Linked DNA regions of Styela clava. The protein of the gene in region 2 interacts with the protein of the main gene of each other region in a pairwise test. Links are inferred from orthologs where the notes say so. Each region holds a gene or a part of one and is shown on either strand. Other genes may lie near its edges.

The links.
Region 1: the proteins of protein kinase C iota type-like (region 2) and partitioning defective 6 homolog beta-like interact in a two-hybrid assay, tested with the Drosophila melanogaster proteins (2 studies listed by BioGRID). The link is inferred for Styela clava from reciprocal best matches to the Drosophila melanogaster genes aPKC and par-6.

The regions. Positions count from the first base shown.
Region 1 is NC_135250.1:4,770,619-4,778,626, reverse strand, and holds the start of partitioning defective 6 homolog beta-like, read right to left. Parts: upstream 3,649-8,008; 5' UTR 3,573-3,648; coding exon 2,478-3,572; 3' UTR 1-2,477.
Region 2 is NC_135257.1:16,668,440-16,676,661, forward strand, and holds the start of protein kinase C iota type-like, read right to left. Parts: upstream 3,208-8,222; 5' UTR 3,130-3,207; coding exon 2,452-3,129; intron 1,829-2,451; coding exon 1,682-1,828; intron 764-1,681; coding exon 586-763; intron 498-585; coding exon 301-497; intron 1-300. UniProt on the Drosophila melanogaster protein: Serine/threonine protein kinase which is required for apico-basal cell polarity in the germ line as well as in epithelial and neural precursor cells, for epithelial planar cell polarity and for cell proliferation.

The DNA.
Region 1 (8,008 bases), on a different chromosome or scaffold from region 2:
TCATACTTACTATCAAATATGTTAGTAAAGCAAGGTTTTCACATCTATAGTCACTCAAAAATCATGATTATTGAAGCTAATAAGTCTTTGTTTTGAATATTTTTGAACAAATAAAAATTATATTAGTTTCAAGAATCTTTATGTAGACAGAAAACTTTGGATAAAAATAAGATTTGAAATCCTTAATTTTTCAAAAATTTATTTATCTGATTGCTTTTATTGACAAATTTGCCATTTTCGATTTGATATAACTTATGTCAAAATTTAGATATACACATGATTTGCCTGGAATATATATCAATTTGTATATTCAAAGAACTGTAATCAGTTTGGCATTGGCCACCAACATATATCTATAGTTGGTTTACACAAACTTTGAGAAATGTCCAAGAAATCGCGAGCACAATAATGAATTGAGCAAAATTTTGACATACCATGACAGATCTGTCCGTAAATTTGGTAAAAATTGTTATTGTCTAATCCACAATTCTTATACAACCTCTGCACATGATTTGGTACTCCCGTAGTGTGTACCAAGTTATGACTAGGCCATGATTTTATTCAGATTTTCCTTCTTTTAGTTCTATTACGAGTTTGGGGACTGTCTGTGCTAGCCAAGCGAATATTCCCCCTGCCCATAGGTTTCAGTCCCTGGATGTAAAGTAGGCCAACAAAATTAGTTACCCCCATATTGGTACACATACTTCTGGAATCTGGAGCACCCATTACTTTATAAAAGATGGATGTCATTTAGAAAACTCAATTAAGAGACCTGATCACATGCTTATACAACACACATGTGCAACTATCATGTGAAACTTGCTTATAAAGGTCACACAGAATTATAATAATGTAATACTATTAAATCACTACGCAATCCTATTTACTTAATGCAATTTTCCAATTTGTTTGAAAAATAAAATGCTAATGACTGAGGTAGATAACAAACGGCTAATTAGGTTTGAATTACTTTTTTTTGTAATCACTAATAATGATAAATAATTTTTAGCTAATGTGGAATTATACATTTTACCACTCTCAATAATCTTGCATTAATGATGATTCATGTTGAGGGAGTCAATATTTAGAAATATACTTCAAATTTGACATGAAAGCTTTTTTTCCAAAATATACCGGTACTTGAAATTTGATTATGAAATTTTTTGTCTCAACGCTTAATCTAAATTTTAATCAATTAATCTTTAGCCAAACTATTATTATAATTTCCATGATTAAAATGGAATAAAAGAAGAAAAACCGAATGAAACAACATAACAAAATTATGAAAGGTAATTATAACCAAAAAATTTGATATTTAATTTTGAAGTACAATTTTGACAACAACAGATCTGGATACTCCCATAGTATGTGTACCAGGTTGGGGTTAGGCTATAATTTTATTCCGATTTTTCTTTTATTAGTTCGATTACGAGTTCGGGGACGGTTTGTGTTAGCCAAGTGAATATACCCCTTACCATAAGTTTCAGTCCCTTTACACAACTTGATGTAAAGTAGGCGAACAAAATTAGTTACCTCCATATTGGTACACATACTTCTGGAGCGCCAGATCTGAGCAGCAAATCTAGCATGAGCAGGGGTTGAAATAGAGCTCATAAACCGAGATTTGAGGAACTCCTATTTGCTTAAATTGAGTGATATATTTTGATAATTAAGTAAAATTGGTAGAATAAAATATTGGCCAAAACGTCTATAGAGGAATAACAACACTTTGAATAGATAATTCAGCACCTACAAAACAATATAATAAAGTGGAATTCCATATTTGTCAAGATAATTGAAAAAAAAACTACAAATAATTTAAAGAGAAAAAACGCACTCTTATGGATTTATCAACTGTGGAATGGGAAGCAACAAAGATTTAAAAGAGTCCACACACGACGCTACACGATTGTATCAATTCTTCAAAATCATTTCGTATTGTCCATTATTTACTATTTATTGGGTTTCTGTGGGACCAACTACTCATCTTCCTCCTAATCCTAATGCTGTAGTAAGAGTGAAGACAACTTCAAATTGTAATATTTGGTTGAGGATAATCGCGAATACTCAGTTTATGCAATTATTTTCAAGCTGATAATACATCTTGATGATTTTTTAAGTCAACCTCAAATGTTCAATCACACAACGCATGATACAATCTGCATCCTAATTGCGAGCACACTGGGCTTATAGTTAATAATTTGCTGGGAATGTACCGTGAGAAAAACTATTTTTCAGTGAAATTCGAATTTTTGAAAAAGCCAATCAATTAATTTTTATGATTGATCAAAAATTAGGTTTTTTGTAATTATTCCCACACATATATGTAACCAATAAATTACTGGTATAAGTAAGTGAATCCGTGCTACCTATGGATTATAATCATAATAAACATAATAAAATGGAAAAATTGCAAAAAGCCGTTTTGGCAAAACATTTACCCAAAATAACATGGGATGATACGGCGATGCAAATACCTACAATGTCAGATCATTTTGAGTGTTAATTTGGCTTCTACGTTTAGCCTTTACTGAGTCTCTACCATGTTTGTGCCCAACTCTCGGCGACTTTTTTGGAGACGGTTGCGTAGAATTTGAAGCTTCAGTTTTATTAGGTACAGATTGAGGAGAAGAGTGCTCTTTGCCTTGTTGGGTCGTATTTATTGAATAAATCTTTTCGTTTTGATGTCGTGCACTGTTGCTTTTTGGTTTTTGGTCATGCTTCGATGCAGGAGTGATATCTTTTACAACATCCTGATCATCGTCGGATTCTTCTTCATGCCTATGTCGTGGAATATCGTCGTAAGAACGAGCCCGAGAAGGCGGCTTTATCCCTGCGACTGCATTTCTCATACTTGCAGGCTTGACGGTGATAATCAAATTAGAACTATTCGCCACCATCATGTCTGTGACCTGATCTAACGTTTTCCCCATCACTTCGATGCTGTTTACTTCTAAGACTTCATCATTGACTGCTAATAAACCAGTCATTTCTGCCAGACCACCTTGTACTAATCTAGATATAAAAATTCCAGGCACTTTTTCAAGTCCGTTATTCGTCATACGTAAGCTCACACCGTCGCGGATATAAAACCCTAATGGCTTGTCTGAACCATGCTTATGAAGCCTCACCCGACGTAAGGTTTCTGGTAGAATATCCACATCGATGATTGCGGAAACCGGACGAAAATCTTCTGGATAACTTATAATTGGTGGTAATTTTTTTCCTTTCTTTTTTCTAACAGTTGATTGGCCAAAACCATTTTGTAAGTTAAAAGTCTCTCGTTTGTGAATATACAGTCTTAGCAAAGTATTTGACGTTTTTTTCGCTTTTGCAAAATTTTCATCGTTATTTATTGGCAACAAATCACCATGAAGTGGGTCGGTGTAAGTCACAATAAAATCGACGTGATGAATTTGATGAAGTGATTCGATTCTTTGATGTAAATCTTGAAATTTGTCTTGTTCTGGATCAAGATGAAATCGTCGAAATTCAGCTAGAAATTTGCTTTTTACTTGAATTAAATTCCCAGCTGGAGAAGACCCAGCAGAGCCTAAGGATGATTTATCCATTTCATTAATTATTAGTTTAACTTTGTACACAAAAATGTCACAACATGTTGGTAGATGTCTGAAACACAATTAAACATAAAATTTACCAAGTGAGAACCAGTAGACTGTACACAAGATAAAAAAAAGAGTCCACTTTAATAAAATTTGATGTCATCCTAACCCAGGGAATAACGATTTAACCGTTGACTGAAACTCAATTGGGTATAAACTTGGCCACAACTTAATAAACATACGAAATAATAGTATAATTTGATATCTGAATCAAAGCTACTAATCATAAAATTTAAGTTAGAAGCAGATTAGACAACTGCTTGAATATTGCGAAACAAAAATATGATATAAAAATACAGCCAAATTTTTTTAGTCATTCTCAAAGTCTGTCTCGCCCAGAACGCTATAGACGGTGACCGTACATTTGAACCCATGTACATTTGAACCCATGCGTATATCCACGGGTTCAATCTATATGCGGGTGCTAAAACCCATGGGTTAGGGTTAGTATGGGTTTAACTATCCGTGAAACAAAAAAAATTTCATAGGTGAAATAGCATACAGGTGCAATTGTCATGGGTTCAAATGTACGTGGGTTCAAATGTAATGGAACCCTATAGACTACCCTATTTGGCATGAGTCATAACTGCTCAGTTGAATATTGGGTAGGTTTGATTTCAACTAAACGAATTGCCTTCCGCGCCAAACCAACTTTTTTTAGAAAAACATTACTTCAGTACTTCGTCCTTTTATTAATTAATTCAGTATTTTTACAACTTTTAACGTTGTTATTGAATATGCACATAAATATTGAATGTTATCGTGTTATTGCGTAAAATCCTAAATTATTTTTTATATTTTTTGCTGGCTAAAGACTTAGCGAACATGTTTGGTTATTTTTCTTTTCAAAATTCACAAAAGGTCATTATTATCATGGTTTACAGTCTCAAACTATAACCAGCGTACATCAGCAGCCTATCAGTACAGCACTACAGCAGTATAAAAATCTTGGGTCTCTTGTAGTTTTGTACCTATATCGTTTTTCTAGTGGACGTAGCGTAACTATTTTTTGATATGTCAATCCTAACCCCCATCTGACTACGTCGTCTAAAATTACGTCACCACGACGTCACAATCTTATCATAAAGCTTGCAGAATAGACGTACAATCGCCCGAAATGGCATCAACGCCGCTGATAAAAAGCTGACTAACATCATCATTCTCTCTCATATTGGGATCATGGTCGCGACAAGAAAACGAGAGAAATAGCTGTTCGATTTCGGATGCTCGTCTGCCGTTCTTAGATGACTGTTCGTATAATTCATTAATTTTTGGATGGTGTAGTTGATGGGTTAGGATTGACACGTGCAAAATTTGTTATATTACGCCCATTATAAGTACGTTAGGTACGAAACTAGCTGAGACCCAAAATCTTAATCTCAGACAGAAAGTTGAAATATCTAACTTCGGGTCTGGCGAAATGAACGACATGACTCCTTAAACAGTTAAATAACATCAAAAAATGGGATTGCTTGAAACTTGCTGCTGAAAAACTGCTTGAATAACGTCAAACAGAAATGTGATATGAGATTTTTATGATTTCTAAAAAAAATCTGTCTGGCACAAAATGAAATTTTTGACAGACGTGCTTCGTTAAAATCAAACCCACTCAATTTTCAAATACTGAACTAAGCACAGAACAGCAGAAGCAGGTACCGGTATGTTCCAATGCCAAATTCAGAAATAGGGTTAGCCGCTAGAGACCGACTTTCTGACTTTTGATACCGTTCTGGTATTTGGAATAAAATGAAAATTTGGGCATTATTTTCACATCATACTTTTGTTTGACGTTATTTGGGAGTTACGGTGTGTCCTTCTTCATATACATACCCCTAGTTACCGGTACGGTGTGTTCTTCTTTCAGTCTTTAGATCCCAACTAACAACTTCAACTAACGAAGAGCAAAGAGAGAATTCGAGAGATATTTCCGAACAGTTTTCTCTATATCCTGATATCTGTATATAGACCTATCCCTATCCTTATACAGGGTACATGAAACTAAAAAAATCGCACCAAAAAAGCGGGACCCGAGACGTATTGTTACCCCAAAAATGCAGCCCACTGAGTAAACCCCACCTTTTCGCACATCGCCATCTAGTGAAAATGTGGGTGTGTCATGCTCCGGTGACTAAAGAGTGGTGTATTGAATATCATCTCGAATGTGATGACGAAAAAGAAAGAAAAGCCTATTTTCATGATTATAATGTGATAAGACTGTTCAAAGTATGATGCATTCATACAAAGACTTTGGTAACGGTTGTCTATGCGAAATACCATACCTGCATACGGTGACAATATCGATATCGAATATTTATGATGACGGTTGAGATAAAACTACAACTACTAGTATTGAAAAGAAGAAAAATAGGCACTTTTCATATTTATTCTATCGTGTCCCAGTTTTATTTCAGTTTTGTTCCGAAAAGTAACACCAGCGCTTATTTTCGGTTGATGTCTCATATTTTCAGTTATCAAAAACAAAATTACAACATAGAAAGTTACGAGATTTTCAAATATACAAAATATGAAAACCGAAATACATTTACCCATAAATACCAAGTTTTTATTCGGAATAGCTGCAAACCATATTTTATGAATTATTTAAAACGTGAAGGAGAGATTTAACTGCTATCGACTTATATGCATGATTTTATTTTCGGGGTAGATCTTATTTTCGGGGAAACACGTATATATAAAGGGAGGAAAGTTTATTTTATGGGGAAAATGCCGGGAGTACAACTGAGTCGTTATATCTACTATATTATTAATAAAAGTTCTCGTATTTTGGAACATACTGAAAATTGAAGCTCTGTAGGACGGGCGTCTCTGCGGTTCAGAAATTTGTGAGAAATTCTTCCACGGGAGGGAGATAAATATTCGTTTTCAAAACGAAGAAAATCGCCAACTCGGGTAATTCTAGATTTAAATCACAAAATTCCAAAAACGTTGAAACGCTATATATAACGAATTACCACTGACAATTTGCCGTTTGGAATACCATTGCAGGTGGAATAAATTTCTTTGAATATCAAGTTGTTAGATACATTTTTTTTGAATTAAATACCAGGCCGTCCAGTTATTTCTCTACCATTACCTCCTCACTTGGATGGTCCCCGCACTCGTAATATAACTAAAATTGGAATGAAATTATGGCCTAACCCTAACTTGGTACATATTCTATGTTCCGATGTCCGCCATCTTGGTTCACATACTGGAGCGCCATTTTTTATCACTAATATCAAAATATCTACCTAGATCTCCCCCTAGATTTGGAATCCCTACCCCAACCCCCTAAAATGAAAATCTGGGGGAGCATACTGGTTACGTCGAGTGAGGCTTCACACCACACACCTTTCTGCATTCAGAGTTTTATATCCGCGATGGCGTGGGCGAATGAGTTTACGATACGTTAAATAACAGACTTGAAAAAAGGCTTGGAATTTTTATATCTGGATTCGTACAAGGTGGCCTCGCAGAAATTTGGTACATATGATTTAAATAAATAATATTTAATCATCTTTTGTCCAATCCTCCGCTAAAAAGTAAGATCATGTTCTCTCATTATCTTAATCACGGACAATCGACTCGTAAAAAATGTAAAGTTATTGCACAGGACCTCCTGAAGTATACGCACCAAGATGGCGCACAACCTGAACTCACGACACGGTTATGCGACATCTTGGCGCGCATACTTCAGGAGTACCCAATTATCGCTAGCCGGTGGGAATGGAAATATCCAGTCAAAGGACCATAGAACCTATTATCCTATCATATAGGCGGGTGAATCGTGTTATTATGTGAAGTCGTGATTGCCACGTTTGGCTGTCAATCTAGACACCTGTTGGTCATTATAGCGAGGAAGTTCCATGTAATAGCTTACACCCTCTACTTCTAGCAAGTCTGTGCGGAAACCTGAGAATATGGTCTGTTGCAAAATTTCTAAGGACACAACACGGTAACAGGAAATAAGGATATTCGACAACCGCCATATTTTTCTGTGTACACAAGAGAAGATAACTTTCAATTGCTTCAGCTATCTGTATCCAATATGAACCAAATTCCCAAAATCAATTGTCGCTTTCAATTTGTTTTTCCACGTACCCGAAAGTAAATAAAGGAGGGTGAAATGGATAAATCTATATGAAACTTATGCGTGTTTACTTTAAGTGGTATTTAAAACAACAACTACAGAACACACCAGTCTCCTCTCAATCAAACACAACCAAATACTATATGAAGTAACATTTACACGATAAAAAGTTTATTGCGGTTAAAAATGTTCAACCTTTGAATTCATTACCGCAAATTACTCTGAATAATATAAGTGATTTCATGTTTGTGTTCACAAATCTCTTATTCACAGGCTGCTCGAACTTGATGCTATT
Region 2 (8,222 bases):
TCAATTTAGTTTTTTATCCTTTCATGCAGGGCTAAGGAGGCGGAGCTGGCCTGAAGTCGTGCCTGCGCATTTCAATGGAGCTGAAATCAGGCTTACCAATATAGATGGAGCCGTAGCTAACAGAAATTTTAGTTGACATACCACAAAGTGCCTGTAATTGTAAACATTTTACTAAGCAATATCTGGATTCTGGGGATGCATTATATTATATACGGGCGAAAGAGCTCAGAAATGAAGCATAGACATACATTAGGATTGTAATAACTTTCACTCGCATATTATAGTATGAGAAAATCTGACCTGGAACAAATAATCTTCAGTGTTTTGATCAGGGTTATCTGCCATACCAACAATATCAAATGGACTTCTTCCTGCCATCATTTCAAACATGAGTACTCCAAGTGCCCACCAATCAACCGAGAATGAATAGTCTTCTCCCCGAAGGATCTCGGGAGCAATGTAATTTGGAGTACCACAAAAGGTAGACGTCTTGTCACCTATAAAAAGTATACACTTAAAAATCCTGTTAAACATGATTTGTAGACAAGCAAGAATAAATAGTGAGAGAAATTATCGTAAATGTACCTTTCAAAATTCCTTCTTTACACATGCCATAATCTGTCAGTTTTATGTGACCTTCGCTATCAAGAAGAACATTATCAAGTTTTAGATCTCTATAAATAATGCCTTTTTCGTGCAAGAAATGTAATGCAAGCACTATTTCTGCAGCATAGAAACGAGCATGATCTTCTGGAAGTTTTCTCTGAAATATAAAAATGTTTTATAAACATTCAAGTGAAGCCTATCAGCTATCATTTATAAATGAGTCGCTCGTTTAAATCTTATTTCGAGTTTTGGAAACTTATTCAAATTGCCATCCTGTGTGTTTGAAACCGCATGATTGTTCTTTTCTTGTCATTGTTGTAAACTGCTTGTATGAGAAAGTCTAATTTTAGTCGGACGAATCCTTACAGAAATACATTTGTGTGCACCGGGACTCTTGAATCGCGTATAGCTGGGTGTTTATTTCGAGCAGTGGCAGAATTCAAAATAAATTATCCAGTCTTATCAATTCCATGGCACATAATGCTAGGTTACACCAATCATTAGGAAGCAAAGATATGTTAAATAACTTGCAAAGATACATCCAAGATTAATAAATTGAGTATTTATTTATTATCAGTTAGAAAGAAAGATCTAGTGTGGCTTTAGAACAGATTTCATCTACAGTCTGATAAAAACCATGAAACACCATCAAAAATCAATGTCTTTTAGAACTAAATTCAACTGCATGATGCATAGAAGTAAAAGAAAACAATAACACCACTTTGAACAAACTTAACAATATTGTACTACTTTTGATATATTAAATAAACACGTTAACGAGAATATCAGTCAGAGACCGAAGACTTATCGCTTGAAAGTTAGGGGATCCCCCAAAACAGCGCTCTTACTCCATAGTGACACCTTGTGTCTCATCACTAAATAATTAATTAAACTCGCTAATTATACCACATAATTCATCCAAAATCAATAGGATTCTGGTACGACATATGATGAATGCACATGCAAAATCTGGAGCAGATTCAATCTCGCTTTCATGAGATATCGCGTGCATGTAACAGACAGACAAATACCTATCAACATACTTACCGATTAAAATCGATAAGTAATAACTGACCTGTCTTTGCATGTGAAACATAAGGTCCCCTCCATTCACATATTCGATAACAAAAAATAGGCGATCAGCTGTTTGAAAACATGAATGCAATCCAACAAGAAATGGGTGGTTTGAAGCAGTTTCAAAAACATGTTTTTCAGTTTGTACCTGAAAAAATAGAGAATAAGAAATTTTTCAAAAAATAGGCTTGATAAAAATCACTGGTAAATGAGAATTGAACATCTGAATGTTATAGTAACAGGGCCAATGAGTTGGTTTGAAATGGCTCCAGCTACAGCAACGAAGCCTGATCTTTTTTTACCTCAGAGCTGGGTTACATACAGGACAGCTCGTTTTTTTGATGTGACCATGAACCCTCACCATGAACATCAGCCCAAATGCAGTTTCGCTGCAGTGGGACTCAAAAATTTGTATGGTAGATTAAAATTTGAAATTTCGAATTTTAAACTTCCAATTATACAACTTTAACTGAAAAGTTTCAAAATTATGAAAACAAATATTGAAAAAAATCATAACCAAAAAACATAAAAAAAAGAAGAAAATTAAAAGTATGGAACAAGAATTAGATGGTTGGGAGCTGGAGCTGCTAGAAGTTTTAGTTGTTTGGTGTTGTTAAGGTAAGCTTGGCTCTAGCTCCAACAAAATGTAATGGCTCCATCGCTGGTTAGTCGAATATTCGAAACAGTTAGAAGAGCTGAACCTGGAACCCTACTTAGTTATATCAATAAACACATTAATGAAAATTTGAACATAAAATATTGAACATTTACCCAGTCGACATCTTCTTCATCAGTGACAAGCTCTTTCTTTATAACTTTCATCGCATAAAGTTTTTTACTTTTCTTCAAACTCACAAGAAGTACTTTAGCATAACTTCCTCGACCAATAACTCTCAACATATCAAAATCTCTCAAACCAAAGCCAGACGTTGTCCTCGATGTCGCATGCACTGCCTCACCACCTGTACCAGTGGCAGGATTGTAATGAACCCTTTGAGCCTCCCCCTCTTGAATATGCACAGAACCAGGATCATCAGTAGGATTGGAAATCGGAATTCGTGGACGACGTCCTTTTAATTTCTTCAACCTACGCTTTAGTTTGTACCATCTTCTTGCCCCACGACGATAAATTTTATGTTCGCCCACACATTGAACCCCGGGCTCAGGAGGTATTCCTTGAAATATATGAAGAAACAGAGTATCATCCTCATTTAGCTCATACAGTCTTAATGCTTCATCCAACTCCAGTTGAGATGTTACTGTACACAGATCACCTTCCTCGTCTAACCATTTCAAAGTGAAAAGTTGAGCATCTGAGAATCCACAATTAACTCGGATTTGCACCCATAATTCATCCATTCGTATTTGTGGATCGAGGTTCAGGTTCAAAATTTGATTTTGATACGCTAATTTTGAACGTACCATTAAATGTGAGGTATCAACAGACATGGTCAAGTTTTGAATGTAATTGATATACAATGCTAATTACAATTTTCGGATTTTAAATTCATACTAAAACATAAAATATGAATAATGAACTCTAATAGGATAGCCTACCGGTCTGCCGGTACATTTAAAGCTATCCCGGCTGTCTTCATTGACCATATTGTCATCGAGAATTCATGCGCATAGCCTATTCTCTGTTCAAATATCGGGTTCAGTTCGAAAAATAGCAAGGAATAGACGTTACCGATGCCAGTACAAATAATTCGAATTTAGACTAATTAGTATTGGTTTTACATGCGATACCGTACGTTTTCTAACAATGTTAGGGGGAAACAACGGAACAAACGCATTCACCCTCAGTACAGCAGTAAGTAGGCTAGCTCTGCGCTACACAGAAACAACAGTAACCAGAACATGTTCTTGTATTATGCTGGATGGCTGAACGCCAACTTTTGGCTAATTTGTCGGGACAAGACGCTAAAAAACGGCCTAAAGCGGGACGTATGTGTATATTATATATACGCTTTGGGTAAGCCTACTGACCTGTCTGCCTGTGTACGTTAACGTACCGGTCCAGGAAGAGTTAATTTTGTCCGACCTGATCCAAATTTATCGTGAGAACTGGAGACACAAAAAGCCAGACACGGAGGATTTGTCATAATATATTGATATAGCACTATAGCACTTCCAAGTTCCAGTGGGTGTGGCCTATAACCTACATCTTGCCGACCCCCTCTCTGAGATAGGAATCTCAATGAAATAAACATATATTTCGCATTCCCCTAGCTCCCTCTACCGATACCTCTATTAGCAATTGTTCATAACCAACCCATATATGTTTTCGTTTTGCTGACTTAGACTTTGAAACTACTTAAATTGAACATTCTAGAATCAAAACATGTTAATGCTTATATTAAAAGCTACCGATAGTCACTGGGTCAAAATTAATAAAATAATTTATGGTGTCATTCTGCCCGTACGACACCGCGATTGGTAGCCTTCTCACCGAAACAGAAGCACAAGTATAACAATTAAATATAGATAGGATAGGATTTACATATTTATCCCGGGGGAGAGGTAAGCCGATAAGACGGCTTATCCATATGGCGAACCACGGCCTCTCGTCCGGTTACCATTCAAAGTCGGGTATGGGATTAGTTATATTGCTTGTTTTCGGAAGCATGTACTTGGTGGTGGAGGAAGCCGTAACCGACCAGCGGTTACGTGAACCACCCAACGACGGCGAGGAGTCCAGCAATCCTCTCGCACATAACCATCCTTGCATGGAATTCGAACCTGCGAACCCACGCAGAGTAATTAGAGGTGCGGTGGCGAGCGTATTCCTAACGCTTAGCCCGTTGAGCCACACCGCCGCGCATTACATCACATTAGCATCTGTCTATTTGCACTTGGAACATTTGTAATGTCACTTCGTAACCTTCATGTTTTTCAGACATAGACATTTTCACCCGCGCTCATTCGCACCCATACGGTCGCCGTTTGGACCCAGGGACATATGCTGATATAAGATCTAAATTGCAATGTTATAGAATCAGGATGTCTATCTATCCCTCAAAACAACAATACTTGAGAGTGAAAATGGCCGTGTGCGCAAATGCACACAAGTGCTAATTCATAGATTTGTGACCTTTTTACGACGCTCACTCACGACTTTCGCTCAGACGGCTTCCTCCGCCACCAAGTCCATGAAACTGAAAACAAATAACTAATTCCATACCTGACTTGGAATGGTAACCTGACGAGAGGCCGTCGTTCGCCATATGGTTTAGTCGTCTTAGCGGATTTCCTCTCCCCCGGGATAAATATGTAAATCCTATCCTATCCTACCATGGCCTGTACGTATAATATGATAGTATTTTGAGATATATAGGAAAGTAGAACAGTTTTCCTCTGTGTTAAATGTTAGTATGTCGTACAGAATTCCTTTCAAATATTAGTGATGGTGGGCTACGGTATTTGGATAATGATATAAGATTAAACTTGACGTTTGATATTCAAAATCGCTGCCTAATTGATATTCACTTTGGTCGTTGCCAAATTGACTATAAACATGGATTCCATACCGTCCTTAATCCTTATTTCTAAGGTTTGTCCTTATTTTTGGCTTATTTTTAGCTTGCGTCCCTATTTTTGGCTCGCGTGTCCTTATTTTGTCTTATTTGGACTTTATAAAGGAAGCTTTGTGTTGTTTGTCTTATCGCCAAAGCTTTATTGCGGAATCATAAAAGCAAATAATCATATTTGGAACACAAAGCAGCAAGGCACAGATAGGCATGAAGCATTGTTAGTGTGGCGATCTTTAGGTTTTGTCGTGGTGGTGGATATTTTAGCCTAAATTTAAAAATGAGCAAACGTAAGAACGTTTTTCGTGAATACGGGAAAGAATTCAAAGTTAAACGAAGCTTGAAGAGTGAGTGCTTCGCATACTGTGACGTCTGTATTTGTAACATTAACCTGGAGCCCATAGGAAAGCCAGCTATTTCTGCTCACAATGCAGAAATTTTTCCAGTCGTCCTTATTTTGGGTTCCAGATCGATGGAATCCCTGACTATAAATCAAGTGAGAACATGCATTGGTAACGTTATGAGCGATTGCGCGACGACACATCCGCCATTTTGTGTCCAGAGATTTATCGTTGTATGATCCTAACCTAACCAAGAGATTTAAACCTGCGATCGTTAAACATTTGATTAAAAGAAAACGATGCTCAAAAATTCGGACCAAACTTTCGCAGCGGCGAAACGAATGAACATTTTCCCGAAAAACTAATTTTCCGCAGATGTTTCTCAGATAACTCGGCTCGGGCGATATGGTCAGCAGATACGGAGTTAGGATTAAAGTTATCCAACTTCACTCGATAAATCAACACCCAATAAGACCAAAAATATAAAACAAAGAGATAAACATTTTATTATAAAAAATCCTGATGTAAGTATTGCTACTTGCACAGAACTTATTTTAACAAACTGGCAGAACTACAAACAAATTACACTACAGAAACATGCAACTATTAGTAAGGTAGGCTACATGTCATATTATTAAAATATGCGTATCGCAAATTTTCAACAAGGTGTTTATTGCCCAAATATATTAAAAAAATAAACTACATGCATGGAATGAAGGATAACGGCATATATCAAGGTTACAAGAAAATCTAATAATCTGGAGTGTATAACATAATATATTATTTATTTGACTTGATCTCCTCTTTTGAGTGAATATTTATTTGTCAGAAAAGTAACTGGCGAACATGTATATATATATTATGAAAGGCATTAATATTGGCGCGAAATATAGAATTTCTTTTTTTGGATGGGTTATAGCATAAATGGGTTGTTAAGTAGATGAATGTGATGTTATCATATATTGCTATTTCGTAGATTGTCTCAGAACTTGAAAGTCACCCGTTCACCCTTCAGCTTCAACGCCCACGTGAATGAAGATGCGTTAAAAATCTCTATATGTTTTTATTCGTAAATTTCCACAACACACAGAATATAAATCTTATAACATTTATCCAGACTAGCTTAGAATGGTTTACATCGTCTTCTCTTCTCCCTATCGAAAGATATCGGAGTCGTATTTATACGTTGATCATAAATCCAATTAAATGCTGTAAACGTGAGCTCGTGATTCACGTTATAAACAGAAATTCCTATTATCTCAACAAGGGTAATTAGGTACATCGTACGGATGGGAACTTAGATATAATTATTTCAATCAGTGCCAAAGGTCTTGAGAATATAGATTTTAATTTGATAATGACTGGATGGAACCTGTTATGTTCTTAAACCTGGTGTAATTTGATTCCTACGAAAGTCTTTGTTCGAATTTTGGGAAAAATTAACTTTGTTTTCATATTTTTAACATGAAATGGGGTACATTTGGGGGTTAGTTGCTATATTATCTCCCCATCTTACTAACTGGAAGTTTAAAGATTTGGCACCTCTAATAAATTGAAAATATATAGAAAAATACAATACACAATGCTAAAATTAATGATATATATAGGTCAAAAAAATATTTACATGTATATGATCTACAATGAGACAACACATTGAAGTAAAGAAAAGTTTATAGAAAGGGTAAAGGTTGTAAAGTAGAATTACAGAAGGATGGCGTATTTTTATTTTGAAAATTTTGGTTTGGACGGTTAAAACATATTTTCAATTCAATGTATTTCGCTAAGTTAAAATGCTTATACTCGCTTTATCGCATTGTTACGATTTTGTAGACCTAGTTGGTCAATATATGCTTGTCCCATGTCGGGAAGAAAAAAACGCATTTTTAAGTTTATGCCATCTCAGGGCTTTTTTGAAAAAATAACGCTTTTGGATACAATTTTTGTTTAACGAGCTTATTATTTAACCGTTCTATATGACGGCTTTGTAAATAATTAAAAGTATGACTCGCTCGAATCTACTTTTAGAGAGCATTTTAATAATAACGAAATCTATTTAATCGAAAAAGAATGCTAACCACAAATATTCAATAATATAAATCTCTTTAAAGGTATTTGAAATTAGAATATTCAAAGTTTTACCATTAATTAATTTATAAAAATTGAAAGCCGAATGAAACGCCATGTATATATAAGAAAAAGAAGTACTTTACCTTAGTATTAGTGGAAGAATGAAAAATGTCTGTCTCAATGAGGAGAAAAACCTGCAAATCACGAAACAAATTGTAGATTAACATGTTCCTGATCTGTATATCCATTAGGCATTAGGTATGCGCGACAATTTCTCTATTGTTCGGAATAGAGCGCGTGAATTACCGTAAAACAGTCCATAGAGTTCATTGTTTTCAACAGTTCGTTTTTTGATTAGGTTTTTCACCTCGAACATATATCATTTTCTAAAAAAGTTCATTTCGATCGATGTTCAATACAGTCCATATTCATGATTTTAACGTTTCCAGAGTCCGTTACCATAGTTCAACTGTTTTCAATTGAGATTATTGTCTTTTCATAATGTTTTTGATTATTTCGGCTTGTCAGCAATTTGCTACTTCAATCGTTGTTCCAGGCAATTCGAATCTCCCAGACGTTCGTAAGTTGGTCGAATTTGATTTTT